Linked DNA regions of Alligator mississippiensis. The protein of the gene in region 2 interacts with the protein of the main gene of each other region in a pairwise test. Links are inferred from orthologs where the notes say so. Each region holds a gene or a part of one and is shown on either strand. Other genes may lie near its edges. The genes, in order: QDPR and ANKRD13A.

Region 1 (16,498 bases), on a different chromosome or scaffold from region 2:
TGTATCCCACTGATATAGCCCCTCTAAATCAATATATGCTTGCACCCTCTCTCTCCCCTCTAAATCAAATCTTTCTTATCTTCCATTATATTGAAGTCTCTTCATGCTGCTAAATTCTTTTGTTATTTATTCCTGAACCCCTTCTATATCCGCTATATTTTTTCCACTTCTTCAGTCAGCACTAGGCAGTTGTCATTTAGCCATTGCTCTCAAATAGGAAAATTATGCTCTATTATAAAGAAAACATATCACAAGAGAAGGAAGGGAACATAATTAATTACTCAATGAGCCTATAAGATCCATGGTAGCTGTGAGCAACAATTTTCTCAATTTCTCCTGATATTTAATAAGTTGTGTTTGCCTAGGGCACTGCTTACATCTTTAAAAATATCCACAGTGATTGAAACCATCCAGCTCAAACAAAGCAAATTGAAAGCAAATTAATTAGATTTTCTGTCCTAACAAAACATCATGAGATTGCAAATATAGGAACCTTGGGAACATTAACAGCATATGGCCAGTCGGTTACAAAAAGAAAACTCCTATGCTGTTCATTTTCTATAATAAAGGATTTTTATCTTCAGAGTGTATTAGATTCATCTTTAAACATTCAATCATATAAGATGCATTATAAATTAGAAAACACAATAGTTTTCCAAAATATAAAGACACAGGTATAATTACTTCCCTTCAGTTTTTAGTTTTACAATGCATTTCACAATTTTAATGATAATCTTTCTGGCTTTAAAGGGATGTTAACCTTTGTCTTCACTCTCCCACTGCCAGAGTATGTATTTTTTGAAATTGCTGCCAGATTTTCTTCTCTTAAGCAAGAAAACAGGAATGTGATCAAAGACTGCAAGGTACATTTTCAAGGATCACACTAGACAGCTCAAGTAGATCAAGACAGAAGGTCAGCAACCTTGTCTGTTTCTGAAGCAAAGTTCATTAGAAGTAGAACGTGGGCAGGATGAGCATGCTCAATAATATCAGGTGAGTTATCACTAACCTGAAATAACTAGGTAAATAAGAACTCTGCCTTTCAGAAAAGCAAATATGGAGTTTAACCTTTTCCAAAAAGTTTTGCGCTGTTGCAAGTAAGGCTTTTCATTTGCTTTTTCCTCAGACCTGAAGAATGCCTTACATTGAAAAGCTTGTCTAACTTTATTCCAACCATGCAGTTGGTTCAATAAAAGATATCACCCGTAAAAACCCCTGTAGGCATTCTTATCATATGCTAAGTCAGGTTTCACCAAAGCCTGTCAACTAAGATTTAAGTACTTAGTTCTTTTGTTTGCATGACACCGTCAAACTATTTGGTATTATTTCCATCTGTAACAGTTACAAATTTCCTGAAGCGATTCAAACAGCTGTTTCCCATAATATGGTAAAAAAAAAAAAGAAGAAATAAAACTATTGTTTCTCAACTGAGAATAATTAGAAGTGGCATATAACAATTGTAACAGACATCAAAGCAAGCAACATATTTTATTTTTTACCTGGGGTTCCAGCTAAAGCAGCTTTGGCTCCTGTCAGAGTCAACAAACCTCCTTCTTTCAAATGTTTTGTAGCTAAGTGACTGGATATAGTTGATGTCCAAACACTCTGCTTCCACATCAGGTCACAATTTTTGTATAAAGCTGGTAAACAAGACAATTACAAGGCAAAAATTTAGAAGACAAAACTCATTTTCTAGTTCAGTGATTCTCAAGCAGATTGCCTGGAGATCCTTTGAAGGGTGCGCCAGGGTGCTATACAATGTTAGCACTGTTAGGTATGCAAACATGAGTCACAAAAAAACCTCCAGAGATTTCAAATAGAAATCTATAGTATTAAAAACATCCTGACCTGCTGTGATCTTTCCGAGTTCACTGCAACAGTGAAATTGCTGTAATTTTCCATAGTCAAAAAAATAGCAAAAACTAAAAACTGGCATTTTCTAAGGGGTGCCTTAAGTCTAAAATAGTTAAGAACCACTGGTCTACTTTAAGCTCACTTCCCATCACACAGAATGAAATAGTACTACATACATCTGCCCTACACCATCTCCTTCCCCTATATCAGCTAAAACCCTCAGCTAGGCCTTCATCTCCTCTCCCCATGCCTTTTGCATCTCCTGTCTCTTTGATTTCCTCCAGTTCCTGCTCTTCAGTACCTGTCCAGTACTACTACCAGACTTCTCACTATAAGAAGTCTGACCACATCCCCCAACCTCAGGGTATTTTGTTGGTTTCCGTTAGTTTCTGGATTCTGTTCAAAATGCCCTAAATTCTTAAAATATCTATGGACTTGCTTCCATCAGTATCACAGGCCTTGAGTGCACACTACACATTTGCCCCAGAGTAATATAACTTAATTTAGTTATAGTGAGGCAGACATGTTTTATACCTTTAGGCTGATGCAAGTTATTCCCTTCTGGGGTAAAAGTATCCCTTAACAAGCGAGGAGTAACTACTAGAAAAACAAATATGTACTTGATCCCCTAGTTAGTTTCATCTCAGGGTAGTATTTTGCTCAATGTAAACTGGCTTCCTCACCACCTCGCAGCCAGCCTGAGAGAGCATCTTGTGTGAATGCTTCTTACTATGGAATAAGAGCCAAGATACTTTGTAGCAAGTACATGGACAGGGACACAGACACCCTTACATCTGTCACATCATACTCATGTCTTAGTCCCTTTGCACAAATTTCACTAGTGACAGAGAGCTTTCTGCAGCTCTTACCTTTTGGAATGATCATTTCAATTGTTAGGGGAAAAATCTCCTGCGTGTATCGCTCAATTTCTCTGATTCTTATTTTTCTTTTAATTTTGTAACTATATTAGTTCACTATGTAATCCTTGTGCAGGATTTCGTTTGAATGATAAAACTGAATAAAATAAAGCTGTGCTGCCTCGCACAACCTGTCATGGTTGACATCTGGTTAATCCATGGATGGGCAATTACCTGGGTGAAGCCAGCCATTGATAGCTTTTTTCTCCACAATACAGATGTTGTTCTTAAATATTTGATATCTGTTGCAATGACCTTTGGGTTGGGCTCTGCAGCGTTATATAGAAGCCTACTTTTGATTTCAACTCTTGTTTGTTTACTCCCTGTAACTTCATAGCCATCAACACTGTATAAATACCAGACTACAAGCAGCTTTTCCCACAGGCTTTGATCATATAAGTATACAAGACTGGATTTAGTACTTGGGTGAAAAACTCCAAGGCATAAAGAGACTGTTCAGGGATATCTTTTGCACATCAGGCAGTTCCTCAAATAGGGATACAACCTGCTTGACATCAGTACTGTACTTGACATGATCAGAATCTGTGTGCCAAACTTGTTGGCTTGTAGTTTCAGCAAAAAGGAATTATGTGAATATAGGTAGAAAATATAAATGAAAAAAATTTAAAATCCAGCAATGATGTGTGTTAGTAATGGTTTTCACATAGCAGTGGTTGGAAAGGGAGTCCTAAGGATTAAGCAAGTTATCTGATTTAGTGTTCAAGGCCAAAAGGTCATATTTCCCTACAACACACCTCTTCAATACATATGCTAAAATGGTATAACAAACAGACAAGATAACCACCTATCCCAAAACATTCCCATTTCACCTTGATATCCTGTTGCCTTAACAGTACTTCAAGTTTCATTACAATCTACTGCCTTATTTACAATTAACTTTTTAATTGTGCAGTATTGGTTCACACCAGATACAAATGCACATGTGCGTGCACATATACCTGTATATTTTTGCAAAACAGTAACAAATGCGATTGTCCTATACTTATAAAACAAAGGATTGCCATCTTTTCAGTGTTTGAGTAGGATGAGGGTGCCTACCTGCCACTTCATTTTAGCCAGGTAGGAATTAAATGTTATTTGACGCATCCAGTCTAGGTACCCAAGTTAAAAAGTACCATCCCAGCATTTGGTAACAAGACATTTCAATGTTAAGCTGAAGGCCTTGATTCATTTTTAAAAATAATCTTAGGTTTGTACATAGCGCCTGTTACTACAAGACATTATAGTATCATGGTAAACCAGCACTGAGGACTATGGAAGGATCCAGATGCAAGGTGTCGGTTCTTTTCTAGCCTCTCTCTCTGACTTGCTGCACAACCTTGGGAAAAGTCATTCACTTCCTGTGCCTCAGTTCCTTCATCTGGAAAATGGATACTGACCTCCTTTTCAAAGTGCTTTGAGATCTAATGAGGAAAAATACTATACGGAAAGAGAAAGCATAATAATTCACACTTACCATACTATTTTAACCACCAAGAGCAATAATAAAGAAAAGCACTTGTAAGTGTTCCAATTTTCACTAAACTCGTTTAAGCAATCAGGCTTGTTTCCATGTGATCACCAAAAAGGAAAGATCTCAGGTTGAAAGATCTTTTTAATGATGACTTTTACAGAATTTTCTAATGCTGCATTAATATATCTGCAGTAATGTATGCAATTAACAGAGGCCTCACCTTTTGCTTTTGCACTCCCACCTGCCCATCCTCCAGCAACGCACAAGATGGCATCCAACTTTTCTTCACCCAGAAGTTTTCCAACATCTCCTGTCACCTTAAACAGATGAAGCAAGAGATCATAAAATCATCCTGAAAACAAGTCACTGAAGTAAAAATGCAAACATCTAGACTACTTTAACACTGCTATTTTGTTTTCCATTATACTGATTATTCAGCACACATGGCATTTTAAGCAGCTGCAGAAAGTTAGGCTTTATGGTTCTGCCTGCTCAAAGCAAATAATAAAAACAAAAAGGGAAAACAAATTAATTAACAGCTGCATATGAGGGGACATCAATGGGACAAACTCACACAGAAAAAGTCCACAAAAATCAGACCCATACTTAGGTTGCTACATACAGACACAGAGAGGCTCTTGGTTGAGTGACAAAAGTCATTCCTAGCATACTATTTAAGAACTGACTCTCCAGATTAGTAGTAGAACTAGTAGTAGATTTACCATGTTTCAGGTAAAGCTGTAAGAAGTGAACAATTATGAAAGGGACAATTATTAAATAGCCTTCTCAGGGATAAAGCTTCTACATAAATGATGGCTGGGTTACACCTGTAGCTTAGGAATTCGTAAACTGTTCTCTGGCCTTTCTTGTCCTCTCCCAAATTTAAGAATTTGCCTGTCAGTACAGAATTTTATGTCTGTGGATTTTACACCAAGAACAGTTGTTGCTGTGCCAGCTACTTGGCACTGGAGACAAAGAGGTTGGTTTCTAGATGAAAAGCCTTAAATAAGACCACATCATTTCTTTTTTAAGCACTCGGCATTAAGAAGAGTAACAAATCTGCGGCATGAAATGCTCCATAATCTAGCTGTAATGCCTTCTGAGTTACAAGAGCACAAAAAAAATTGCACTGGTGAAAGGAACACACTCATACACTGGCAACAAGCAAAACCATTTTTTCAATAAAACAACATTTAGGTCACTATTCTCATGTGGGCAAGCTGAACCCACACATAGCCCTAGCAACTTCATTGGTGCTTTGTGTAAATCTAGCAATCCATCTGCCTCCAGTATATTTCAGGATTTGAACCTAAGAAGTTGGGGGTTTACATGACCAAATTATGAAGTAAACTGTAAAGGTCAGGGCTCCGAGAAACACTGTCACACTGATCAGTCAGTCCCAGTTAGCCTCACCTGCCTCGCAACAAAGGGGTGCCCAAACCATGACAATATTGCCAGTGGGCTAGCTGCAGTACAAAATACAGACTCCTAATTCACCTGGGTTGCAGCAAGCCAGTTATTGAATAAGGAAACCAGATTAGGAGAGGCACAATTCAAAGCTGAACTTTAGACTGAATTCAAGAACATGGGGGTAGAAGGGGGGGTGGTGGTGGTAAATTTGAGGTTTGCCTGCATGCTTCTGTTGGGGCTATGGATTTTTTTTTTTTTTTTGTGATATTAAAAAAGAGGTGGGGGGGAGCTTTAGAGACCAGTTCTATAAATCACAGTGAATGATTACACCCCTGAGCTCATGGGAGTCACGTCCATTCCCATGGCACTGCCCAGGCACCATGGCTCTGGCCACGCCTGTGGCTTGCAGGACCCCATGGCCACTCAAGCTACAGTTTCCACAAAACTCGCAACCCAAATGCTGCACAATTCTGCTGGGGGCAAAGGGCAAAAATCAACCAGGAATCGGTCAGTTTTGTTTTGCAAGTGTGGGAAAAACTGACTTGGCCTATTTGCTGCTTAAAGGGATCATGGTCCAATGCCCACCAAGGGAAACTATAAGCCTCCCTAAAAAAGGGAGTGCCCCGCAGGCGTTGCCGGTGAAGTGGAAAGAAGCCAGTCCCGTTAGTTGGGGCTGAGGCAGAGGACGTGCCCCTCAGACTGCCTACGGGAGCCTTCCTGCAGGCAGGGCACTGGACTGGACTCCCTTAAAGAAGGGGGCTACTGAGAAAGTAGCAACGCATTTCTTGGGGGAAGTAAAAGGAAAAGCAGGAAGGGCGCGAGGCCACAGGTTCAAAATAAGGGGCCCAGGGGTCCTCCAACATGTCCACGGACCCAGTGACAGGGACTGCAGGACCTGGCCTGCCCCTGCCCCTTCCCGCTCCGGATCAACCGCTTTCCCTGAAACCTACCAATTCTGTTTTTTAATTTTTTGTGGAAAAGTCTAGTTGGTCTCGTAAAAGTTACCACCCCGGCCAAGAGTCCCGATTCCTCTTCCCTCGAGAGACCCACCTGCTCCGCCTGCTCCGGGAAGGACTCGCTGCTCTTCACCAGCACGTTGGCGCTGGCCGCCACGTTCTCCGACAGGTCGATGCTGGCCACCCACTGCCGCCGCCGCCGCCGCCGCGTGCAACGAGACACAGGTCAGTGCCTGGCCACCCGCCCCCGGCCCCGGCCCCGGCCCGGCCCCGGCCCGGCCCGGCCCGGCCGCGCGCTCACCCAGCCCCTGTCTCGGAAGTAGCGCACGCAGGTGGAGCCCAGCGCCCCGCCGCCGCCGTACACCAGCACCCTGCGCGCCTCGCCCGCCGCCGCCGCCGCCGCCATGCTGAGGCTCCCGGCCCGGCCCGCTGCAGCGCTTCCCGCCCTCTTGCCCCGGGAGGAGCGGAGCGGAGCGGAGCGGAGCGGAGCCGCTGCGCTTGAAGCTGCCGGAAGTGGGCAGAGGGCGGGGGACGCGCGTCCCTCTCAGACCGCTCACAGCAGCCTTCCCGCGGGGAGGGCGGTGCCGGAGACAGCCCGCGCCCGCGCCCACGCCCACAGCTTGCCCTGCCCCTCCGCTTCGTCAGGCCCGGGGTGGCAAGGGCACGGGGGAGGGGGCTTGTGCTCTGGGGGATGTGGCGGTCTTTTTCGGCCGCGCAGATGCGGTGCTGGCCTGGCCACTGTGCCCGCCTGGCAGGGAAACGTCGGGGATCCGGGTGCACGAAGGCAGCGTTGGCGGGGGTCGCTGTTCTGGCGCGGTTCAGCACCCGCCGGCCGGCCTGCTGGGGCTTAAAGCCCGTTTTGTGAAAATGGGAGGTTGCTCCCTAGCTTGCTTTTGCGGCGGGATGGCTGAGGGCAAGCGAACCCCGAGCCTCTGGGCCTGGGCCCGGGCCCGCCAGCAGGATGTCCGCCAAAGGGTTTGGAAGCATCTGAAGCCCCATGCGGGGGTGGAGGATGCTTGCTATTAGCAGGGCCACATGTGGGTCTTGAATGACTCAGGGATCTGGAGTCGATTTGGCTGATTTGACTTGGGACATGAAAAGTTTTCCTAAAAAAAAAAAAAGAGAGAGAGGATGTGGCAGGAGAAATACCATGACCATGATGGTGGTAAGGAAAATACTTTGACCGAGGTAACACAATTAATATGGCACTGGGTAGTGGAGGGTTGCACCCTTGTTTGCTTGCAGGCAGGACTCCCTACGAGAGCTTCATAGTTAGCGTACCACTGACCAAATTACAGCGAGGGGATCTCGGCTGCACATGGACTGTATGGAAATGGGAGACTCCTCTCTAGCTTGCGCTTGGAGCCATACGGTGGAGGGCAAACGAGGCTTAGGGGCATCTAAACCAAGCTTCCGCACTTGGGCTTGCACATAGGACTCCTGACAAAGGATTTGGAGGTTTCTGAAGCCCCTGGCTGGAGTGGATGACGCTTACCGGTATCAGAGCCACATATGGTTCTTGAATGAGTCAAACAGATTTGGACCTGATCTGGCTAATTTGACCTAGGACACGAAAAATTTTCCTTAAAAAAAAATAAAAAATGTGGCTGTCTGTGGCAAGAGGGTGAGTGAGGTCTGATCCATGGCTAGATCAGGCACTGAGCTGATCCACAGGCCAGTTTGGGCCCTCAGAGTACACGCAAATGCGGCTGGCATTGTGTGCCTAGGACCGGCCCAGAGTGCAGCCATCAGGGTGCACCCCACACCAGCCCCCACTTCCTGTGCAGCATGCAGGGCTGGTCCCTCACACACCACAGTGACACGTGGGTCCACTCCCAGACCCATGGGCAACTGGTGCCTCCTGAGTCTGGGGCGGCGTCAGCAGAGCTGGTGAGCTCCTGCAGATGCCTCCGGCAGTGGCAGGGACAGAGCTGGCAAGGTCCTGCAGACGCCTCCGGCAGTGGCAGGGGTAGATCTGGCGAGCATCTGCAGATGCCACTTGCAGGAACAGCCCTGTCAGGTTTACGTTGAGCACTTGCAGATGCCAGCAGTGGCGGGGATGACTTGCAGATGCCAGCGGTGGTGGAGGCGGGGATGGCCCTGTCAGGAGGGGCATGTGCCCCCCCCCATGCCCTCCTTACTAGTTGCCTATGCCCAGACCCATGGGCAGCACCCAAGACCAGATGATAGGGCCCAGGGCCTGGATCTGTGACACCCCTGAGTTGGTCTATAAAGGTGCAAATTTATCCTGACAGTAACGTTGAAGCCAGGTTTCCATGCCACACTAGATTATAGCTTGGTGGTTAGGGCGCTGTCCTGGGAATCGGAAGATATGGGTTTGGCCCTGCTCAGGGGGAAGAGGACCTAGGGCAGAGGTATCTAACATGGCATGTAGAGCCATTTTATCAGAGCCAGCAGGCTACCAAGTGGGCAGCCAGAAGTTGTAGGGCATGGCCAGGGAGGAGTGGCCTGCTGCAGAATTTGGGGATCTTGAGCCCCAGTGGATATGCCAGTTTGGCAGAAGAGCGAGTGAGGGCTGAAACAGACCCAGTGGCCTTCCGGTCACTTCACCCATTGCTACTGCTGTGGCCCTATCCTCAGTCACTGGCCCTGAGACTGCGCAGCATACCTCATGCAGGAGCTGTCACTGCCATGTGCCCTGTGCCAGAGCTGGAGCTCTTGGTGCATCATGAGGTACATGGTAGCAGCAGCAGCTCTGACTCCAGCATGTGGTATGTGATATACAGCAGGAGCTACAGCCACAGCTGCATGTATGGAGCCAGAGCCCCTTGCAGATCTAGCCTACAAGGAGCCCCACAGTCCGGATCTGACCTGGAGCAGAAAGAGAGTTTGACACCCCTGCCCTACATGTCATGCTGTGCACATTCTTGAGGTCAGTGCAGCTGTCAGTTAGGGGTCTTGGTCCAGGCAGGTGTCTCCCTGCTGGACAGTCTATATCCTGAGATGACCAAAACACTTCCCTTGCACCCTGAATCAGGTGTCTAAACTCTGAGGATAAATGGGAATTCAGACACGCCACTCTGCCTAGGATTTCCTATTGGCCAGCTGTAAGCACCTCTGTGCCGAATGACTATGTGTAGGGACCTACCTGCTGTGAGGTTTTGTGGATTTCATGGAAACTGAAATCTGGGATTGTCCACAAAATCTGCAAAATCAACAAAAAATTAAGAATATAATGCTGGCTCTCCAGTGGGAGCCAGCAGCCCTTGCTGCCAGGAGGGAAAGGTGCTCACTGGCAGGGTGGCACAAAGGGCAGCAGACAAGTTAGCAGCTGCCCCCTCGTCTCTCCTCCCTCTGGGTCCTCTCCGCCAATCAGTGCCTAGGGGCGGGGCCGCACAAAGGACATCCAGCAATCAAAATGGCAGTTGCCTCCTCACCCCTCCTCCTCCAATCAGCACCGAGGGGTGGGGCCTCTCTGCCAATCAGCACCAAAGGGCTGGGCTGCCACAAAATACCCACAATATCAGCTCTGTGCACCATGAGTGGGTTGCAAAAAACCGTTTGTCTTGCTGTGATTTAGGTAGGTCCCAAATTACATGGTCTGGATTATCCTTGGAAGGCATCTAGGGGTATGGCCAGATTTACATTTGGAACACTTCATAGCCAAAGCACTCCAGCTTTAGCCCTTGATGAAGCAGTGTTAAAATTGGAGGTTTGTATTTCCCAATTTGTCCACAAGTAACAATTAAAACTTAACAGCTGCTGCCCCTTTAAAATGTTCCTCTTTTGAAGCCACTCCAAATATATGTGTCCGTGATCTAGGTCTCCCATTCACTGTATATAAAGCTTAGTTGTGTAAGCTTGTCAATTTGCATCAAACTCTAGACATAAAGCCCCTAAATTTAAGGCGCTGCCATGCCTTAAGTACATTTTGTATTGTGTCTGAAATGTCTAATACATTTTTAAAGTGCTTATATTCCATGGTCATGGACACAGTATAACAATATAGACATAAAGGTTAAAACATAACTACATAACCATTGAAAGCTGTATTGCTTTGAGACCTCCGCTGACCGTGAAGACTTTGTTTTACATCTCATCCAAAAGACACCACCTTAGTAATAGTGTGTTTCCACAACTTGTTTGGGCTGCAGTCAGTAGGGTGTTGGGTTACCTACTTCAGAAGGATGTTGTGAGAATTAATTAATTAATAGTTGTAAAGAGCTTCACAGTCCTTGAGTGAAAGGCAGTAAAGAAGTGCAAACTATTGTCGCTTTTCAGTCCTATCTGATAGCACTTTTAGCCTGTTGTGTCTGTTTCTGTATGTGCCTGCATTAGCTCCATTGCTAAAATATATTAAAAAGAATGTTGGCATTTGTCTTTTTTCAAGCATAAAGAATTGTTTTGCATCTCATTTTATATTCCAAAGATTAATCTAATAACAAGTCTGTGCAGCATCAAACACTATTTATATACTTCAATTACCAAGCTTGGAGAATGGGTTATCATTTTCTAGTTTATGAACAGTTCTGATAGCAGGGACAGTGCTGACATTTAGAAAAAAAAAAGCACCACGGCAAGCACCAGGAAAAAGTAATTTGATACAGCTGAGATGACAGCAGAATTCAGGTGCCAATAATATATTTTTTATATTCTGTGTCCCTTGCCCACAAATATTTAAAATGTCATAGCAATCTAAAAAAACTGGATCCTTCATCTAAGTTTCTTCTATGTGATTATGGTAAAGAAATAGATGTCATTTGAGTATGTCAATTAAACCTCTGATGAAACAATAGTCGTGCAATAGATATAGGATTACTTTCTGCAGAGACAAGCTCCACTGCACTACAGTGTAGTGAAGTTCTTCTTTGCAACCATTTCAGGATGTTGTCGCAGCAAATCTACATTTCGGGCTTGATTTTTAACCATTCAGTTTAGCCTCTGGAGTTTAAAAGTGCAATGAGATATAAAAGTCTATGTTTTGAAGAATTTGCATCCCACTTGTGGATTTCTAAGCATCAGAAAAATGGAAAATATATCTAATTACTGCAGAGAGGCCTTGGAGAGGATTCCTTGAAACTACTAAGATGCCTGGCTGCTTTAAAAAGACATTGTTTGCACTGGCTTCTGCAATGAGCTTTGTGTCTTTTATCTTGATTGTTGTTGCGATGGGAACCCAAAAGTGGATAACTGGAAAAATTCTTTGTAAAACAGGAGCTGACTTGGTCAATGCCACAGATCCAGAACTAGTCAAGTTCACTGGAGATATTTACTATGGACTCTTTCGTGGGGGCAAAGTACGACAGTGTGGGTTGGGTGGGCGGCGGTCCAAATTCACACGTAAGTAAAGTTTTGGTTGAATATATTGAGTGATGTGTAAATAATTTTTAAAAGCCTTATAATTTTTTTGTTTATCATACCCATAGAATGAAAATAGTTATTAAGCTCACATCTATAGTTCATTCTACTTTGGGTCTTTATGGTTTGAAATATGGGCACAAATTTCAATGTATTTTCGGGCTTAATTTATTTATATATTTTTTTCATTTATATTCTTGGATATGATGCCATATCACTGTAAAAGCAGGATTAGAAAAAATATTTCTTAGAACTCCGATGGAGATTTTCTTGTAATTCCCATGTAAAGGCTGGTGCCTACTTCTGGCATACCACAACCACCTTTGTAGTAAGTACTACTGAACCAAAGGAATCTTCCAGTTGTTTTTTACATGCTGCTCTCTAGGTACCCCATACTACACATGCCGTGGCAAATATTCTGGCTTCATTTTTTATGGGTTGGGAGATATTTCCATTTCTTCTTGATAATTTTGGAGGAGATGTTGAGTCCTGACAAATCTCAGCTTTCTATGTAAAACCTAGTATTCTCCTGAGGCATTTGCTTTCAAACCGTTTAGAGGCTTGTCTGTACCTTTGGTGGACTACTTAGCCTTCAGATCCACATTAAGGTAGAAATAGCACTGGAGCTGAAGTTTCGTGGCTTGGTTTCTACCTTGTGGATTTTTGACGACCAAATCTTGCTTCAGCTAATCACTGCAGCTAATGCCTTGTCATGCTGTCTTATTACCAGGCACGGCCTACTCCTACCCCTGTCCAGTTTTCTCTAAAGGGTAAGGGATAGGAGGTGGAGTCATGGATGTCTGATCTCTGCCTTTCTCTTATTTGCACTGCTAAGAGAGAGCATTAGGCATGCAGATGTAGTTTACCTACCCATCCATGCCATTATTCATTATTTGGATAAGCCTTGCTGGCTGCTAAGTGGAATGGAGGAAGGGGAGCTTATGCCTCCTTTTGGTCATTTGCACAACTGTGTAGGGCGAATCCAACTGTTGATAAAGAGACTTTTTGATGAATTACTGTGAATTACTAAAATAGACTAGTTCAACTGTGACTCCTGTGATACAGTAGTCAGAGGACCAAAAGCTGCAGTTCTTATGTAAGCCAAACTCCCGTGACCATAGAGTCATAGGATTGGAAAGGACCTTAAGGTTATCAGGTCCCACCCCCCGCATGAATGCAGGATACAGTGGGAGTTTTCCCTGCCAGCAGGGGAGGACTGGGCCTTTAAAAAAAAAATGCAGTCACTTAGTCAATGGATATAGTAGAGATATACCTTTCAAAAAATGAATTAAAAGATCTGTAAGATTAGATGTTATGGACTCAGTGGTGATACCTTTCCTAGAGGGACAGCTCCAGTGTGGAGTGGAAATGTGGCAGTCATACAGATGTTCCAGAACCATTTTGTTCGCCCATAGCCTGCCAGAGGCAAAATGCTTGAGGAGGCCGTAGGAGAGAATACCGTTTCCCAAGAAAAGGAGCCCAAGAGCAAGACTGGGGTGCATGCTGAGGACCTGTCCAAGCCTGGTGATTTCAGGCGCCACAGGGAGGCAGTATAGACCCTTATTGTTGTTTCTGAAATGGGTGCAGAACCCCACTGGTCATTCCCCCAGGGGGACATCCTCTCTGACCCTGTGCTTGAAGAGGAGATAAATAGATTCTCGTTATAGTCTTATCACTTCCCTGAGCAATCTGAAGGTTATACAGGGCTAGATTTAGGGTGTTTATTGTCTTCTCCATCTCCTCTGTCCTTGATAAGCCCCAGTATAGATTGAATTTTCTAAATGCCCCATAGTTCTCTTCTGAGAAAATTTGGTCTTTGGCTCTAAAACAATGCATTTGTGAGGACTTGCAGGTGGGTGAAAGAAGTTACCATTGTCTGGGAAGCAGAGGCAAAATTCACGAGCACCTTGTCCAAGTTAAGGAGTTACTAGAAGTCCTGCATGTGTTACTTCAAAAAATTTCAGACCAACCCTAACTGAATACTCTTAGACAGATGCTCAAGAAAGCTAGCTTTTTCTTCAGCAAAAAATACTCTAAAAATAAATAGATAGTGAAACGGGTGGCCAATATGGTCATTGACCCCCCAAAAAAATTTTGGGTCACTGACCCAAAAAAATGTTTTGGGTCACTGACCCAAAAAAAATGCTCCCAAATAGAAATGTCTTGGGAACATGCCTGGAAAGAAGTCCTAAGGGTCTCTAATGAGCACAATCAGGGTCCAGGAAAAACATTCTATAGATGGGGACTTTGAGCAGACAATGGCTATACCTCTACCTGGTGCAGAGGAAACCTGAGAATAGAGACTAAGACAAATTCAGATCACAATTACCTTAAAAGAAACATTGGGTTGGGAGCAAAGGGATGTTCAGGCACACTGGCCTTATAGTAATAATGTTTTAAAGGTAGGCCAGAGCCTGGAGATTGACACTAACTGGAGGTGTGTACACAAGTTGCTTTTTTTGCCATTTAAAATGCTTTATTGCTGTGACTTAACAGAAGTGAATGGCTTTACAACACTTTAAAATGGGTACAGTGCTGTAAAATTAACCCTTGTTAAATGAGGTATTAAATCTACAGTGCTTTAAGTAACTTCTGTATGCTGGTTAGGAGGTACAGAAAAAATGTAGCAGTTCCTAATTTTTAATGCTTAAATGAGTAACCTTAATAATACTGCAACATGTTTTATTTTTTCTGCTGATATGATCAAGGCAGAAATTGCTTGTTCATTCTCATTAATTATTGTGTCTTTAATAGCCATATACTGGGGTTAATTAGATTAATATGCTACCCTTCCCAAAAAGGCCCAGGATGGCTTATCATAAACATAAGATAAACAAGTAAAATAATAAAATAGTAAGTAATAACTCCCCAAATACCCCAAAATTTAACCCCATTTGCTAAAAGCCTGCCTAAATAAAAAGGTTTTACAATGCTTCCACAAGATGCCCAGGGTTGGGCTTGGATGGACCTCAAGGAGGCCTCAGGGCAACTGAACCTACTGTTCAGTGACTGTGGACCTGATTGAGCAAGATACTTAGGGCATCTTTACACGTGCTCCGGGTGTGGGGGGCGCTTTAGTTAGAGCAGCTCTGGGAGCCGCTTTAATTAAAGCACTTACAGTATCTGGTATATTCAGCCTCCCCACACTTCAAAATGGTGGTGGGGGCTTTAACTAAAGGTCATTGAATGAGCTTTAGTTAAAGTGCCCCCACTGCCATTTTGAAGCGCACGGACACTGATACACAAGACATGGAGGCTTCTGGAGTGTGCCAATTAGCACACTCCACTGATGCGGTGTAATTAAAGCATGTCAGAGCAGTGTCCCTGCATGTATACAGGCATCCTTAAGTACATGCGTAATGCTAAGTATAAATGGTTCCAGTAAGGGGCCTTTAAATACCTTGCTGAACTGTGGGTCTACTTGACTCAAAGAAAGGAACCAAGTTTTTCATCTACACTTCACTTGTTGCTCATATAAGTTTGTTGAGCAGCAGGCAGATAATTTAGTTTGTAGCTTCAGACAATACCACTATTATTGCTATAAGTATAATATACATATATGTTAATTAAAGCTCATGGCATGACATTTCGATCTCAATCTGAACTCTCCCTAAAATTCAGGAATATTTAGAGTTAGAATTCTGGCTGACGCTTACAATAATGATAGGACAAGCTGGGAAGATCAAAGTGCGTGAAATTCAGATTTGGTGCTCTTGTTTGGGTTTACTGTTTAATAGACATAATATACAGTAATATATTTTCCAGTATAGTCTCATATAATACTGACCTTAATAAAACTAGGGCAAGAATACATGAGCCTGCATCCCTGACCAACACAAGTACTATAAGAGAATACTATTCTCAGGTAAGAACATCCTCGTTCCTTTACTTTTGCCATCTGATTATTCAACCATCACAAACTAACACAGCTGTTTCTACAAGTTTACTTGTAAATAAAGTCCTATTACAGTGAGCATAAATCAGTTTATATAATCAATATAAGGTTAACTTTTAATAATCAGAAAAAGGTATATGCTGAATAACTGAATATTTTTTCTTGACAGTCTTCCCACATCTGGTCAAAAAGCTGAATACAGGCCTTCATGTGATGATTATAATCTTCCTATGTGTCGCCATTTCTTTTGCTCTGATCAGTTTTGGATTCTGCATTCTCAACATAATCCAGGTTCCATATCGAGCTATTAAAGGTCCAGCAGGTATATGCCTATGGAATTTACTTGCAGGTAAAATAATTTTTACTACTGTGAATAAATGGTAACACTAAATTGTGTCCACATGTTAAAACCTCTTGCTTGTCCCGTATGTACATTTCTAATAAAAGATAAATGTTTGCATTGAATTTGTACCTACTGTAGTAAAATTAATACAAGGCATTTCAGATGCTAGTATAGGTTGTTCTTCATGAACAGAAAATTCATATACAGCCTCAATATCAGTTGCAAGAGCACTTTTATAGCAACATAAGAAAGGTGCGATGCTTAATCACATATCTAATAAAGGCTACAATAGAGGAAGACCCTTAAGCACATGTTAAGCACATCCCCATT
Region 2 (16,202 bases):
AAATAAGAAAAATATTTTTTTCTTCAAAGCCAAAGTGATAAAATTAGCAATTAAAAAAAGCAGCTCTCTATTTAAAAGCACTTTTCCCTTAAAAATGAATGTTTAAAATAAGTACATTTAAAATTAAATTTAATAATTATGGCAACCTATTTTAAAACTGCTGAAGCTCTAATGCTCAAACCACCACAGTAGTGGAAGTTCCTGGCTAAAACACTGGGAACAAGTTTGCTGAAGTATTAAACCAGCTTTGACAACAATAGTTTCTTATGCGGATGCAGAAACTTTTTCTTCAGTTTAGTTTTTCAAGCAGTTCCTGTTCCATTCAAAGTTTAGAAAATCATCTGGGAGCTAAAAAAAAGGAGGAAATCATATTTTTCCTTTTCTAGTTTATGAATAAAAAGCAGACGCGAGCAGATGACCTCTCAGTTCTAAAATCTGGAGATCAGTTCTAAAAAATAAAGTAACATTATTTTCAGTTATACTTTTAAACTTAGCACCTGTCCCAAAAGGTTTGGAACACCCTGAACATCTGATTTCATTCTGAGCTGTAAGTGCTTAATACCATTCAGATGAAACTGTTAAACTAATATACAAAATTATATTTAAAAAAACCCCTACTTTTTAAATTACATAGCTGACATTCTGTAAATACTGATTGATAAAAGGAGAGCAGAAGATGGTTGTGGCATGAAATATGGTTTGTTTTTTTTAAAGGCACTACTCAACTTATGACAGATGGATACTGTTAAGGCATGCCTAAGAATGAAAAGATTCTTCACTCATATGTGAACATTCACTTCAAGGTTTAGGTTGCAAAAGCTTTGAAAGATGCTTTAGAATTAAATATGTTTAAACCACATTGCTCACAGCAAAGTTGATTATTTGATCATCAAGGTTTAAAGATCAATGACTAAGAGAAGACGGAACTTCTTCAGACCTGTTCATATAACAACACTTTCAACCATATTTAAAAACTGAAACAAGATCAGCTTCACTTGCCCTTTTGCCACCTTTGTCACAGCTGGTCAAAAATAACTGCATTTTTCCAAAACGTCTCCTGCAACTATAAAGAGAATTTTATAAAAATATTCAACTTACTGGACTTTATCCTGTGGGTTAGCTTTGCGCCTTCCACTCATAACAGATGCTGGGTCTAGCAAAGAATGTTCCCATATGGAGTTAGCACCATTATTATACAGTGTTTCAACCATCTGAAATTCAAAACATGTACAACAAGCATTAAGTATTTTTACTGCTACTTGCACAGACAGGATAACCAAGACCACACAAATTTCCCAGTACTTTGCCAGTACACTTCCAGTGCAGGCATGCTATCAGCAATATCTTATTTTTAAACCTATTAATTGAAAAACTCTTGGCATTCTTTAGGGAAAAAAAGATGAACAGGATCACGTGAACAGACCAGAAGAGTAACAGATTTGTCCAGTTCTGTGCTAACGTCTATGACTAAAGGGAATGTCAGGAGTGGCTCCTTTGCATTCACAAGTAAGAAGCCCTTCCTTCAAAGGCCAGAGATAACAGGCTGTGCACATGAACTTAGATTTTCTCCAGACAAAATTGCTGAAATCAACACATTTTTCCAAAACGTTTTATTCTGGCAGAAACAACATTTTTAATTTAAAAAATAGACCACAGAATTCCTGATCTGCAGACTCCAAACCGCTACAATATGCATGCTGTAGAAAAGTGGTAAATTCCATATATTTAACCACCTGCTAATCAGGCTACAGACCACAGCCAAACTGTCTGGATTAATAGTGTATGGGTGGGGTTAGGGTCAAGGTAAGTTTAAACTAAAAGAACAAAGCTGCATCTGTTAAAGTGCTGGTAAAGGATCTTTTAGGATATATAAGACAGAAGCAGTGAGAAAGCAGAAATGAAAACAGAAAGCCTAGAATTAGATCCTCCCCCCACAGCAGTGAAGATTTATGCTCTTGCCAACAGTAGCTTTGGGGAAGAGGAAGGGTTGCTGCATGTTGATAACTTGCACTGAAACACCTGCAGTAATCTAAAATGGCTTGAAAGCTACTCGCTAAACCAAGAGAATTTTAACTGTGCTTCAGACTTTCCATTTATCCTAGATGCAAGTCAAGAATTTCACAGGTAACATTTACTTTAGTAATGCACTACATGGGGTGTTAAACTCACTCTGGGCCTGGAACCAAATCAACTACACAGCTCCTTCCAGGGCCAAATCAGGAGGCTGCGTTCAGGTAGCAGCATGGGTCTGGTCTGTGGCAGTGTGGATCCAGGACCATGGGACTGCAGGCAGCTGCATTTGGGCAGTGCTGAGCCAGGGGCTTGAGGAGACACAAAATCTGGCCAAAGGCAGCTCCATACCAGTGCACATCCCTGGCTCCATGCAGATGCCCAGCCGAAGCTCTGTGCTGCTGCGTACTCTCAACTCCACGCTACTGCACACCTCAGGCACTTGCAATGTGCTAGTTCAGCACTGCTGCTCGAATGCCTGAGGCTGGCAACATTGCCAGGGGTTCACAACTGTGCAGAGCTGAAGGCATGCAATTCTGTAGCCTGCTGGACTACCAGTGGGCTGGATGCAACAGTTCTGCAGACCGGAATCAACCCACAGGCCTTGTCTGACACCCCTGCACTACAGGAAAGGTAACAGAAACCAAGCATCTTTTAAAAAAAAGCTTAAGGGAGCAACCATCCTCCCAAGAAAGTTTAGTTATTACAGAATTCTCTAAAATAGCAAGTCTCATCCTTTACCTGCAGCAACGTTGGAGGCCATGGTGTGTGTTTGAGATGCCTCACTTGTGAGATATGACGCCCCAGGCTCCGATGCACGCTACAGCACTCATCACAAATTAAAATCCCCCGGTTTATTGATGCCCAACAAGGGTCTGGAAAAGAGTTACACATGTTATAACACGGAGACAAACAAGTTCAATGGTAAAATGCTACTCCTGGTTTTCTAATTTATTTGCTATATGAACTTGGGCAAATCACAACCTTCGCAGACCTCAAGATGTTGGAGGAAGAATGGGTCTTGTATGTAAAGCGCTATATTGGGTTTCAGGAGATCTGGGTTTTATTTCAGCCTGCCACACACTTAAGACCTTGAAGAAAACCACTCTGTGGCCTCAGTTGCTCATTTGTAAATAGGACCCCCTGTCTTCCTCATATCAGATCCATTGTAAGGCTAAAACTAAGCAGTTCCCAGATACTGCTGTGATGAGTTCCAAAGAAATGCCAGTAAAGAGCAAATTCCTACCCTGCTATCACAGGAAACTATATCACATAATTCCCTTAATACACTTAACAAGTTCCTTAAAACCAACCAGATTTCTTGCCTTATTATTCCTACTAGACAGCTACTGCTGCAAACCATTTGCAAATTGTTCACTCTTATAATTGAACATATTCAGCTATCACTCAATACTGGCCACTTGGTCACCCCTGGTTGAGCAAATAACCCTCACAATTCATGGCACAAGTAGATTTTAGTAGAGATTTGGAAAAAAAAATCCTACTGAAAACTGGTAATTTAGAAAATGCTATCTATGAATGAAAAGTAGCGTTAATGAAAGCAGGCAGACATTTTTGGTAGAAGTTGTCAAGTATTCATCAAAGCTTTGCATCAGTGGCAGAGGAAAGGAGTGATTTAAAAACTGAACCTGATGCAGTGGAACCAGAACGAAAGTGGAAGGATTCAAACAGGGGACTGTCATGGTAGCACAAATGAGCCAAGGCGACGTTCTTTGCAACTGATGAGTGTTGGAAAGGTCAGACAGGAAATGGACACAATCACTAATACATGGACCTACTTATGGGCCCAAATAAGAGCTTGAGAGGACTGAAGTGTTAGGTCTGGAAGTTTTTGGAAGGAAGCATCAGGATTTTCACAAACCTGGATGTGCCAGGACCAGGAAGATGGAGGAGTGGGAGAAACACTACAGGTAAAAGGCCTGAATCACTAGTAAAAGGGGAATTGATAGCATGTGCTGAGAAAAGAAATGGTTAAGAATTTAATTTGCCTTAGGAGTTACTGGATTAACTAAAGGTGTTACTTCAAACAGATATAGTTAAAAATCACACACAAAAAAGAAGCGCTGCCTTTTAAATTCAATTTAAACACAGTTTATACAAGTTATCTTAAGCTTGGGGGACAGCAAGTCCCAGGCAGGCCACAGATAAGAGGTGGAGATGTCAACTTACACTAAACAGATAAGTGAGGTTTAAATTGATTTAAGTGTCTACACCATGTCTTGCTCTCATTTAACAAACCTGTTTGGGGTTTTTTCCCCTCATTTAATTTACAAACAGCCTTGAACAACTTTAAAATTCTTTTGATTAAACACTGGATATAGACAAGTTTAAATTGATGGCAAGATATTAAGGAAGATACAGTGGGGGAAGAGAGGGCAAGACAAGTTCTGCTATGCTTTCAGTAGCACTAGAGAAGAATTCAAAACAGGAAGTAAGACATGATCAAGACAAACTTGCTAGTTGTTATCAACAGACTTTGAAAAGTGAATCGTACGATTATACAGAATGCAAAGTGTGCTGATAAAGGACACAGCATCGCCTCATGTCAAAACGAACAAGTAGGGATGGAGTGTTTTGTGGCCACGATTAGCCAAGAGATATGCAAGAAGCAAGGTTTTTTGGGTGATAGCTTTAATTAGATTAACTGTACAAACTTGTATACAGCTGGTTCAATAAAAGATATCACCAAAAACATTTGCTTTTTGCCGTACAAATGTAAGATATTATTTTGAGGGGTTTATAAGGCATGAGTGAACAATTATTTGTCAAAACTAAACAAAGGAAAAATGGGCCAGGGAAAAAACAAACTGCTGTACAGAAATTCAAGCAATACTGTGGTAGTGATAAGTCCCTCTATGTTCAATACATTTAAGCAGCGTAAAAGCAGCTTTACAATAGAATTAGGATAGGACTGATAACATGGGACATATGGTTGTGACATTAATTACTGGGTAAGAAGAAGGGTAGAGTTGTGGATATATCAACTCTGGAATCTTCATTTATGATGCTAAGAAACTGAATACAGTAAATCCTATTTTCCAGAGTCTTTATCACCTAAGGAAAATGGAGATTAACCCAGGGGAAGAAGGTGGGCATCCATTTGTTTTTACAAAACTTTTGAGTATTCAGTGTTTACCTGTATAATATAATCTTGTAATTTATTTTGGTGTTACATCTGTCACACCATTGATCTTGAAAGAAGCACAGCACAACACAAAACACAGAGCATGAACTGCATAAACCTGAGAAAGATGATTTATAAGCTGGGGTAGAAAAGATTATTATGAGTAGATATAAATGAAAGAATGACAAATATATCTGAAGTTTAAAAAGAGAGCGTGCCTTCTGGCATTCTAAAAATCGTTTTTAAATAAAGTTTTCAGAGTTTCCCCAGTTAGTCATTTGGACCAGTCTTCTGACTTATGTGCATAGCTTTACCCATTTGAGTTGTTTTATTAAAGTTAACAGGACTGCCCAAAGTACAGCTACACATGTACATAATTACTTGCAGGACTGAGGCCTAGAAGTATTTCTAAATATTCCAAAAGCCAGCTCAGCTAAGGTGACTTGAAGTCAGCATCACTAGTCTAGTGCAGGAATCCTCTCCAGCAAAACCAAGAAGAAACTGACTAATCTAATGTCCCTATTCAAACCTCAATGAAATGTAACATACACCACAACAGAATCAACTCATTTAAAAATTGAGACTCTTCAGTTTTAACAATTCCTTTTGCTATTAATGTCACTGAATATGTTAATTTTATCTTGCTGATGCCCCTTAAATAAAAAGTACTCAACTATGTAAAACACCACAGCGCTAAAATTAAGCAGATGTCATCAACCTGCGACTAATGAAATCCAGAAATCCAAGCATAAATTCAATAATTGTAAACTGCAAGTTGTGTTAAAGGGCAACAGCTGTCAATAAATTCTTTGTTCCTGGATGCAAATTCAGTGTTTATCCAGTTTGCAAAGCAAACGTCTCATTCCAATAAAGGATGGAATTGCTGGTGGAATATTCGGATTTTATAGAAATTAGATTCATGTTTAAAAGGAAATTCAACAAATCTCATTGTCATTTCTAAGCTCACTATCAGAGGGGTAACTCTACGAATAATCTCTTGCTATGCTAAATACCAATACTTCTGCGCTGGATGTTATTTTAGGCCATCTCACTTGCTGGAACACAACTCTCCTCTGTGCTTGCTCAGCCTTCAAGTCTATAGGTCACTAACACACAAAATGAGATACAGCCCACACTTGTTTTAAAGGGACAGTGAACAATACTTAGCACTCTTAAAATTAGTGGACCCCTCAATTGGAGCTACAGGGAATATTGCTGGAACTCACATTTTCTGATATTTTGAAGCAGAAATTAGGACTATGTATTAGACTCTGGAAACCTTGTCAATAAACCTGACTAAGGGATCAGCTTATTAAAACACTGCCCTACATTATTTCTTTTCTAACTAGTGTAGGAGAGACACCATGACAGAACACTGCCAACAAGCTCCTGACCACGCTGAACCTCCATCCTATGAATGCTGAAATTCACCTCCAACAAAGCCCACAGGATTCTGGCCTTTTTTCTTACAGTTTGACAACTCACAGATGGCTTATCATGCCAGTCATGTATTTAACTGAGTTGTCTAGAAGTGAAACTCTCTTGAGCCAGTACTGACACACAGGAAAGTGCAAAAAGGAAGCACAAAAAACAAAAAGTAAGATTACAATTCTAAAATTCTTCCATGTTAATACTATAAACATTTTAAACACAGGTATGGGAATGCACTGAAAAGGGGGACTTATCTGGACAGCATCCTTATAAGAGGAGTCACAGAATTAATTGTGCCATGATTGTTTAAACGGTTTGGTAAATTCCACTTATATCCATATTAGATAAGTGCAAAACTCCTTTAAGCGTATAACATGATGCCAGTCTTAACATTCATCCTAGCGCTTGTATTGCAACAAGCACTTAACATCACTTATCTGCACAGGTCAGCACAAGCAGCACTTATCTGTATACGGATAGATGTGTAAACCCACCAAAGTCCACAGGAACTCTTCAGCGTTGCTGTCTGTTTTGACCTGGGACTGCGTTTCCTTTCCTGGCATCACTGAACTGGGAGTCACCAATTCCCAGGCCTCTTCTTCTCTCCTATCCTTCATTTCCCCCTTTACACATCATTAATGTGGCCGAGCCACACAACTGCTTTATCACTGACGCTTCCCAGGTCCTCATCCTGGTGTGCGGGCGCGCTACACACGGGAGGAGTGGGTCAGCAGATTCACATATTGGACTATCCTTTAAACCAGTGGTTCTTAACCTTTTTTGTACCAGGACCCATTTGTCAACGTCGACGGTCAATTCTGACCCAGTACCTCTGGGGCAGGGAGTGGGTGTGTGGGGCACGTGGGTCCACAAGCAGCCCTCCGCAGCCTGCGAGGGAAAAGCCAAAGCTTCCCACATTTTTCCCCTTTAAAGGAGAATCCATTTTAAAAGTTTGCATGCAACCCTTTCGTATATTCTTGCGACCCAAGCCAAACTTATAAGGCGCGGCTCCGGAGCAAATCCCGTTTCATTTAATCCACAAGTTGCGGGGCAGCTCGTACGCGGGCTGAGGACGATTCTCCTCTCCAGCGCTTTGATCTCATCCCGCTTACCGTGGTGTTGCTCAAGCGCCCCTAGGCCGCTGCGTGCGTTGCACGTGCCCGTTTTGGGTGTTTACGCCTCACGCGGCTGCGTTTCTTAGCGATTTGTATAGGGCGCGCTCACTCTCTGCTGTCAATTGGACGCTCTTTTAATTGCCGTTTGACTTCTAGAGTCTCTCAGACGCTATATAAAGTGCGCGCGGTACAGCCTCCACCCCGATGCTGTTTTAATTGCCGTTTGCCCTGCACGCTCTCGCTAAACACGACACAAAACGTGCGTGTATAGCCTCCACACTGGGAACACTCCTTTAATGAGCGTTTTACTTCCATATTCGCACTCAGCGCTGTATCAAGCGTGCGTGGTGTCGCCTGCACACGGTCCGTGCTCTTGTACTTGCATTTTCTCACGGCGCGCACACCTCGGCCGGGCCCTGCCGCCGCGCCCGGGCTGCGAGCTGTCGCGGGGCAGTGGCTCCTGGACCCCGAGTCTGGGCAAGCGCCCCCGTCCCCCCGCCACGAGCGCGGGTGCAGGGCAAGCCCGGGAGCACCGTGCTTGGGCCGTTAAGATGAAGGCGTGGTTGTGTTTGTTTCGGTGAGAAGGCAGGTGAAGCGTCCCCCAGGTGTGCGGGCGCGGGCCCCCCCGCTGCAGGCCGCGCTTGCCTGAGGGGAGCTGAGGGAAACCCACCTCCCGGCACTTGCACCACCCCCCGCGCCTACCCTGAGCGCTGCAGTCGGCGCACACCTCGCTGCTCCTCAGCCGCTTCGACATGCCGGCGCGGGCGGGTGGCGGGCGCGGGGTAGGGGGGGCTGGGGCCGCTTCCTGCCGCCCTCACGGGGCCCGGCCAGCAACAGGCCGCACTGCGCAGGCGCACACCAGCGCCGCCATTCAGCAAGCCGCTGGGGCCGGTGCGCGCGCGCGTAGGGCAGGGAGGTGCTCGTCACGTGACAAGTGGAGGGAAGGGAGTGAGGCGACTCAGGAGCCATCTTAGCTCCTGGCACCCGCGTAAGTGGGGCAGGGGGAAAACCGCGGCTGCCCTCACCCAAGATGGCCGCCGAGGCGCTTGGGCGAGAAGGGCCGCCCGGCCCTTATTCAAAGAGGCTGTTAGGAACTTGCCCTCACCCAAAATGGCGGCGCCGGCCACCCGGAAGTCTTAGAAAGGCGGAAGTAGCCGATGAAACCGACGCTTGGGTGCGGGCGCGGGTGGGGAAGCGGCTTCCGCCGCGGGCAGTTCCCTTGGGGAAGTACAGCAGGGTGACGAGCTGCCTCCCTCCCTCCCTCCGCCCGCGGGCAGCGCCGAGCACTGATTCCTCTTTCCCTTGTGGAGTGGAGTGCAGTGCGGGGCCGGCTATGGCAGCCGACGAGGGCCCCTCGCCGCGGGGCCCGCTGATTCGTTCCGGCCCCTGCCCGGGAGAGGAAAGTTAGACGGGGACAGGCGGAGGAGGGGGCTGGGGGAGCCCCGGGGGGGGGTGTCTCTGGGGGTCCCTGAGACGGGGGGGGGGGAGGTTTGAGGGTGCCTGAGGCAGGGGGAGGGTGCCTGAAGTGTGTGTGTGTGTGTGTGGGGGGGGGGGGGTCTCTGAGGGTGCCTGAGGTGTGGGGGTGCTGAGGCTGAGGGGCCTGGGTGCGTGTGTTTGGGGAGGTGAGTGCAAGCAGGGTGTCTGCCCCCCCTCCCCCCGGCCAGGGCTGGGGGTGCCAAGCAGGGGAGAGCAGGGCCCTCGGGAGCGCCAGGCAGCAGGATGAGTTCGCCGGGCAAAGCCAGCAGCAAGTACCCGCTGCACGTCTTGGTGTGGAATAACGACTACCGGCGGCTGGATGCGGAGCTACGCGAGCAGGTAACGAGCGTCCCGTGACGCACCCTCCCCGGGGACGCGGCCGGGTAGCGTAGCGATGCGTGGGACCGTCGGGCTGTTGGGGCTGCCGACGCACTATCGGTGATGAGAAGGGGCCGTTACGGGCAGGCACCGAGAATATGTCTGCAGAGATATCGCCGAACTTGTTAAATGCCGTCTGCTGATCTTGGGTGGGGAGGGTTGGGCTTGGACCCGGAGCCAAAAAACACACAGATGCGATGGGCCTTAATGCTGTCTGCTGAGAGAGGGCCACCGCAAGCCGTGCGCGGCGACCGGTCTGCCGGGACCTGAGCAAAACTTTTTTTTTCTCGGCATGGCGTGCCCGGGCAACCAGTAGCTCACTGAAAACTGCTGCTGTTTTCCTCGCACGCTCTTGAATCGTTCTCTGCCCTCCTCTCCACTGATGGATGCTATGATTTTTGTTTTGCAAAGTCAGTCCTTGCAGGTTAGAATACAAACGTCCCTTTTTCAAGCGTAGTTCTTTGAGCTTTCCAGGTGGAGACTTAGGGTCTCAATAGCTGAGTATGTTTGCTCCGGTGACAAAACGTACGTGATCGTCTTAAACCACCCAAATCTGGTAGGGCAGGTGTAAAGTGGGCACACTATTAGCATTAAAATACAGACAGAAATGGGTTCGAAATCTGTATCGGAGCCCAAGCAGTTGAAATGATCCAGTTGTTGAGTTCAGATATTGCCATTACTGAATTCCAGTGCAGCTCCAAATACTGAGATATACTTTATTAATACACAGCTAAACAGCTGGGATTTGTGGCACGGGGCACCAGTTGGCAGACACATAGCCTGTTAATTGTATTGTTCCTGATACAGTGGGTCCATGCACCGAGTGTCAGACAGTGTCACCTTGTGATGCTAATTAGGATGATTGTCTGCACTTTGCTGGTGCATTCTGAAATGCTAATATTTGTGTAAAGCTTGCTTAGGTCGTCTTTTTTTCTTCTTTCTTTGAGTGACTCTTTAGGATGCTGTGTACTGTATCTCTAATTCTTATAATCTTCAGTCTGTCTGCAATATTTCTTTTACTGACACATTGGTTAGGGTGCTCGTTTCTTTATGTTTAAATCTTTATTAAAATAATGTTACCGTCTTTTAAACAGTTGTACCTTAACTGGGAATATTTTAGCGCTAGTTTATTCTGGTGATTTGCATCGTTGTAATTATGGCAATGCAAGCAGGTCCAGCTTCCTGCCCCCAGTGCTCTACAGCGCAAGTAAATGGACTACATTTAAAGGAAGGGAAAGAATACATGCACTAAGCTTGAAGTGTCTTCTTTAAATCAAAGATGTCACTTCTGCATCCTCTGTTCAAACTGCTTCTTGTATGGGACAGATGTGCTGTGTGTGGCAGAGGTATTGAAGGAAACTCTAGCCAGCCTCATGAAATGACTAATGCAATGCACAGTTCCAGGTTAACAGCAGAAGAGAAATGAAGATAACTGATCCAGAATCCTTGTTTTCACTGCATTAGGCACTACAGCTTGGAGAAACTGAGTGAAGATCGCAAGGGCTGCTGTACTTAATCACAGCAGCGAGAGATGAGGATGCTGTAATTCAAACTTTCCTTACTCTTCGATCTTGGTGTTTCAGACTTAATGCTGTCAGATAACCATTTCAATTTGCATAATATTCCTATCTTATTCCACTATTGACTTTTCCCCTTTTCCTTTAGTTATAGATCTTCTTCTGTTTCAGATCTCTAAAGCTAGTAGTGAAAAATAGAAGTAAGGTATGAGTATGTTGTGCTTGCATGTTTTGGGTATTTATGCCTCATGTGGTTGCATTTCTTAGTGATTTGTATAGAATGCACTCACTCTCCATTGTCCTGTGTGTCTCAGTCAAACTGATGCTCTTTTAATTGCCATTTTACTTCCATATTCTCACTAAATGCTATACAAAACGTGCATTGTATAGCCTATCACTCACTTCTGTGATTTTTGGCTGATTTAATGTTTTGTATGTCATGATACCCTCTAGTGGCCACTTTAACTGGTGACTAAATAAATCAAAGTTACAAAGTACAGAGAATGGAACCCTGCCATTTCCTGAAAAAATTGTGCCTGCAGATCAGGAGGGGGGAGGAACCTCATATAGAGCTGGCTGCTTTCTCTGCCTCCCAACACCCCCTTTTCCTCTTACTCCCAATCACTTTTAAAAGAGTCCAGTCCTATTCCAATTGGATTTCTGTGAAAGCCAGGCTTGTAAGAGGACAATTAGGCAATTCAACAGGGGTATCAAAGCAAGTCATATAAGATAAAGTGACTGCAAACCATGAATGGTTCTGTAAGAATACATAATGCATACTGACCCATTGTAGCTTATCGCTGAAAAGCTTTGTATTATCTGTCCTTGGTGTCTTCTGGTGATGGGGTTTGATTGAATGGTCTCAGCATCATTTACCTCTTGGTTGTTCAACAGGATGTTGATCAACGGGATCCACGAGGCCGGACCTTGCTGCACCTTGCTGTTTCCTTGGGATACATAGAGTCTGCCAAAGTCCTCCTTCGACACAAGGCAGATGTTACCAAAGAGAATGCCCAGGGATGGACTGGTAAGAGATTAGATTGCAAGTGGAAATTGTCTGTTAATAACCTTTGCGTTAAACCCAGCACCTCTGAAATCTGGCCCTGTGTGTGTCGTCATGGACGTTGCATGGCTTGTCTGCAACATGCGTGTTGTAGGCGTTCTGCTTTTTGGCTAAAAACAAAAAATGCACCCACCTCCGTGTTTGGGCTTCTTTCAGTTTTGCATGAGGCTGTCAGCACAGGAGACCCAGAAATGGTACACATGATTCTGCAGCATCGGGACTACCAGCAAACCTCAATGACACTTGGAGGGGTTCCCGAATTACTCCAAAAGATTAATGAGGTAAATATTTAATGAAACCTGAGTTGCAGGCTGGTCAAGTGCCCTTTTGGGAGCTGCTAGTTTGGTGTCAGTTAACTTAAATCAGCTTGGGGATCGGAATCAATTGATCTTAAGTCAGGATGATGGGCTATTCAATTCAAAATTACCTCTCCATTAACTCCATGTAAATCCGTAGTAACTTAATTAAGATGGGTACAGTGGAAAAGTGTTAAACTATTGCAGGACAATGTCTTGTTGTATGCCACCTTATTTTGATTAAATGTACTGGTAAGTTTTATCTGGGTAAATGTCACTGTGGGTGTTGTCAGTGACATCTCAGCCTCAAATGTTTCTTCTTTCTTAAATGTATATGACAAGTCAGAGCTAAATACTGAGTTAATATTCTCTCCATTTTTGGCTTATTTGAAACACCCATTTTTATGCTAGACTCCTGACTTCTACGTGGAAATGAAATGGGAATTCACTAGTTGGGGTAAGTGTCTTCTACAACCTCTCTTACCTCTTGTAACCAGTAGAAATGCATGCGAGTTTCAGACTTGTTGAAGTAAAAAAGTAGGTTTGCAAAGAAAATATGTATGTAGAACCTTTACTTTCTTCCTTTCTCTCAAAGTTTGTTAAGCATGAAAGATTTCCAGCCTATTTTTCCTGCTATATAAGCTGTTAGATCTTTGTTAATGCCTTTTTTTTTTTAATTGAACCCTATGGCACTTATGTTGGTGGTTGCTGAAGCTTTTCTAAGGATTTAGCTGTCCCAGTGCTTCGTCATACATAAGGTGATGAGGCAAAACTTATGTGGTGGTGCCAACCAATTTAGGAAGCAGTTTATTCCTTCCCGTTGCAAAACTGATTATGTGCATTATGGGTGACTTCTCTTTCTTCCCAACCACTGAGTATTCACCATTGCTGGACAGAGGACAAAAAAATAGCTACAATTAATTATTTTATTTAGTGTCTCATGTCTTGCCATGTTCACCATAAGTGGGGAATCAATTCTGATAGTTCCTCTGTTCTTTGTTTAGGTATCAAAAAACAAACTAAACCAAGAAAGACAGAGGTTCATAGCTCTTGGGACTGAAAGGGATCATTTTGATGATCTACTTTGACCTCTTGTGTAATGCAAGCCATAAAATTTCTTTAAGGAATTCCTGGATCAAGACTAGAACTTCTGGTTTGAGTTTGATCCTCCTACTCCTTTCTTTTCTGCTAAGGAATTTTACATTTGAATCTCTGTCTTTTTCTTTATAGTCCCACTGGTTTCCAGAGTATGTCCAAGTGATATCTGCCGCATCTGGAAAAGTGGTGCCAAGCTTCGAGTTGATATCACGTTATTAGGCTTTGAAAATATGAGTTGGGAACGAGGAAAACGTAGTTTAATTTTCAAGGGAGAAGGTGAGTATTTTTAGCCTGTCTCATTTATTGACTGTCAGACAGCATGAGGCCTACAATATTTTTCAGAGTACATGTTATAATGCTCAGCTTTATTTTCACATCTTTCACAGACTTCTTCATGCTGAGAAGTGCTCCATCTGGCATTTCAAGTTTCTAAGCAGAACAGAAGGGCTGAATTTTCCTTCACAAATTCTTCTGGAGCAAATATAGGAAATCAGATTAAAACTTAACTTTAGAACCACAGAAATAAGCATTCAGCTACATTATAGATAGATATATATATTTCCCAAATGTATTAGGGTCTTTTAATTCTACTTTTCAAATTACTCTTAAAAATGACTTGGCCACCTACATAATCTGCTCATCCATCCTTACTAAGATCATAGTGGTACTTAAACAAATCTATCACTTGTCCCAGACAAATGCAAACCTGACAAAGTTTCCTTTGTCCTCACTTTCATCCCTTGTGTGAGTCCTGGATACCTCTTTACTGAAAGTTTGTAAAATCTAGTCAATTATATCTATTCTTTCAACAGATACTGGAGGCTGGGCAGAGCTAATTGAGATAAACCATGATGATAAGGTTGTCACAACAGAGCGTTTTGAAATCTCCCAACAAATGAAGCGTTTGACATTGGGCTCTATGACTCCAAAAAGGAAGGATGTGGAAAGACGCCTTACATCTCCTATTATTAATACTTGCCTTGATACAAAAAACATTGCTTTTGAAAGGTAAGATATTTAAGCTTTTCTTAATGAACAAATCCTCCACCTATGCAGGATTATGCTTGCAGTATAACTTTAAAAAAAGAATCTTGTAATAGATTATCTTGGAAGTAACCTAGAATAATACCCTAAACTGCATATTCCATTCTGTAGAGAATGAGCTGAAAATCATAACATTTACTTCTGGCCTTGCAAACGGTTTCCATTTGGTGAAGAGTCCTTTTGCACTGTAACACTTGCATTTCTACATTAATGGGGCCAGTTTTAATATCTTCTGGTTTCAGAAATATACACTTAATTGCCAACACAGCAAGAACGAACCATATGTGCAGTGCTGACGCTAGTTCACAGTCTGTGGGCTGACGTTGAGGATCCAATAATAAAGTTTACAGCTTCAGTTTTGACTTTGAGCTTGATTGATTTTTAGCTTAGTCCTATGTAAATGATAGTAATAACTGTACTAATACTGATAGAGAAGATACTAGTTTGATAGTAGAAGCACAGGAGCTACTTCAGTGCTGCACCTTTTTGGAGTGTTATGGGGTATGACAATACACTTAAGTATTGCTGTGGGAACATTGATTAACTTCAAGGCAAAAGTATTTATTAAAACATGGTGCAGAATTACAGCCAGTGTGAAAGATCAGCTGTCAAAGCTCATTGCTTCATTCTATTGGATGTGTGAAGATTTTCTTCCTTGAGTGCTACTTGGGGAATAAAATTAAAACAAAAAAGCCTCCAAATCCTAAGTCCTGCTAAAAGCCAGTGAATTTTAGACACGCCAACATTTACATTGTTTGTGAAAACCACCCTAAAGCTTACTGACAGCAATCAGCCTGGCTTCCCAGTTTCCAGCTGCAAGTTGCCAGATAAAATTAAGCTAGCATTGACTCTGACAGTTGTTCAGTGGTTCAGGAGAGGATGTGATGCTATCCAGAAACTCCAGTTCCTTGTGGCTCGAGCTTTCCTGTTACAATCAGCCTGCTAAATATTAGCCTCTGCACTTCCATGGAGATATGAATAAGAACAGAAATGGACTCAGACTCATTTTTCGGCCTTAGATTGGAGAAAGATGTTTGTGTTTGTTGTACCTGTTTTCTGGGGCTTTGTCTAGTATCTTGCAAACACTGTTTGGCTGAAACATCATTAGAGAAAACATGGGTTGGAGGATAAATAGATATGGCAAGTTGTATATAGATACTTGCGGTGTTCACTTTTTATCAGAACTACATCTGGATTCTGGGTATGGAGGACAGAGAAAGCAGAAGGTGTAAATGGTTATGAAGCAAAGGTAAGAATCAGTTCTTTACAACTAAGAGGTCTAAAGCTAATTGGAGTGCGAATGTGATTGTTCAATATTCCCTGAGTATCTTAGCGTTAAAATCTTCCTTTAATGTCCACAACCGTCTTGATTTGCCACATAAACTGATAGGGTGTGAGACATTTCAGATGGGATGCCAAATACCCAGGAGCTTTGCCTGTGGTTGGGGATTGAAACAAGTGCTGGGAGGTGGGGATAGTGCCAAAAGAAGACGGGGGGAGGCTGGGAGGGATGTGGGCAAATGGCTCTGATCACAAGAGCGTTTCCCTCCAGAATGCGGAGCTCAGCTATTACTTTAGAGTCTCAGCATTCTCACAGTGTCAGAAAGCAGTAGAACCCATCAGCAAAAT

What was found.
Region 1: the proteins of ANKRD13A (region 2) and QDPR interact in a two-hybrid assay, tested with the Homo sapiens proteins (2 studies listed by BioGRID). The two-hybrid records come from large-scale screens. The link is inferred for Alligator mississippiensis from reciprocal best matches to the Homo sapiens genes ANKRD13A and QDPR.

What each region holds. Positions count from the first base shown.
Region 1 is NC_081825.1:34,318,199-34,334,696, forward strand, and holds the start of QDPR (dihydropteridine reductase), read right to left. Parts: upstream 7,115-16,498; 5' UTR 7,018-7,114; coding exon 6,913-7,017; intron 6,837-6,912; coding exon of another isoform or gene 6,799-6,836; coding exon 6,706-6,798; intron 4,563-6,705; coding exon 4,466-4,562; intron 1,641-4,465; coding exon 1,500-1,640; intron 1-1,499. Other genes in the region: CLRN2 (clarin-2), read left to right, coding at 11,660-11,912, 15,995-16,174. UniProt on the Homo sapiens protein: Catalyzes the conversion of quinonoid dihydrobiopterin into tetrahydrobiopterin.
Region 2 is NC_081833.1:2,080,264-2,096,465, reverse strand, and holds the start of ANKRD13A (ankyrin repeat domain-containing protein 13A), read left to right. Parts: upstream 1-9,267; 5' UTR 9,268-9,420; coding exon 9,421-9,516; intron 9,517-11,966; coding exon 11,967-12,099; intron 12,100-12,291; coding exon 12,292-12,416; intron 12,417-12,842; coding exon 12,843-12,888; intron 12,889-13,661; coding exon 13,662-13,805; intron 13,806-14,341; coding exon 14,342-14,537; intron 14,538-15,755; coding exon 15,756-15,822; intron 15,823-16,202. Other genes in the region: ARF GTPase-activating protein GIT2, read right to left, coding at 1,099-1,211, 2,752-2,885, 8,404-8,455. UniProt on the Homo sapiens protein: Ubiquitin-binding protein that specifically recognizes and binds 'Lys-63'-linked ubiquitin. Does not bind 'Lys-48'-linked ubiquitin.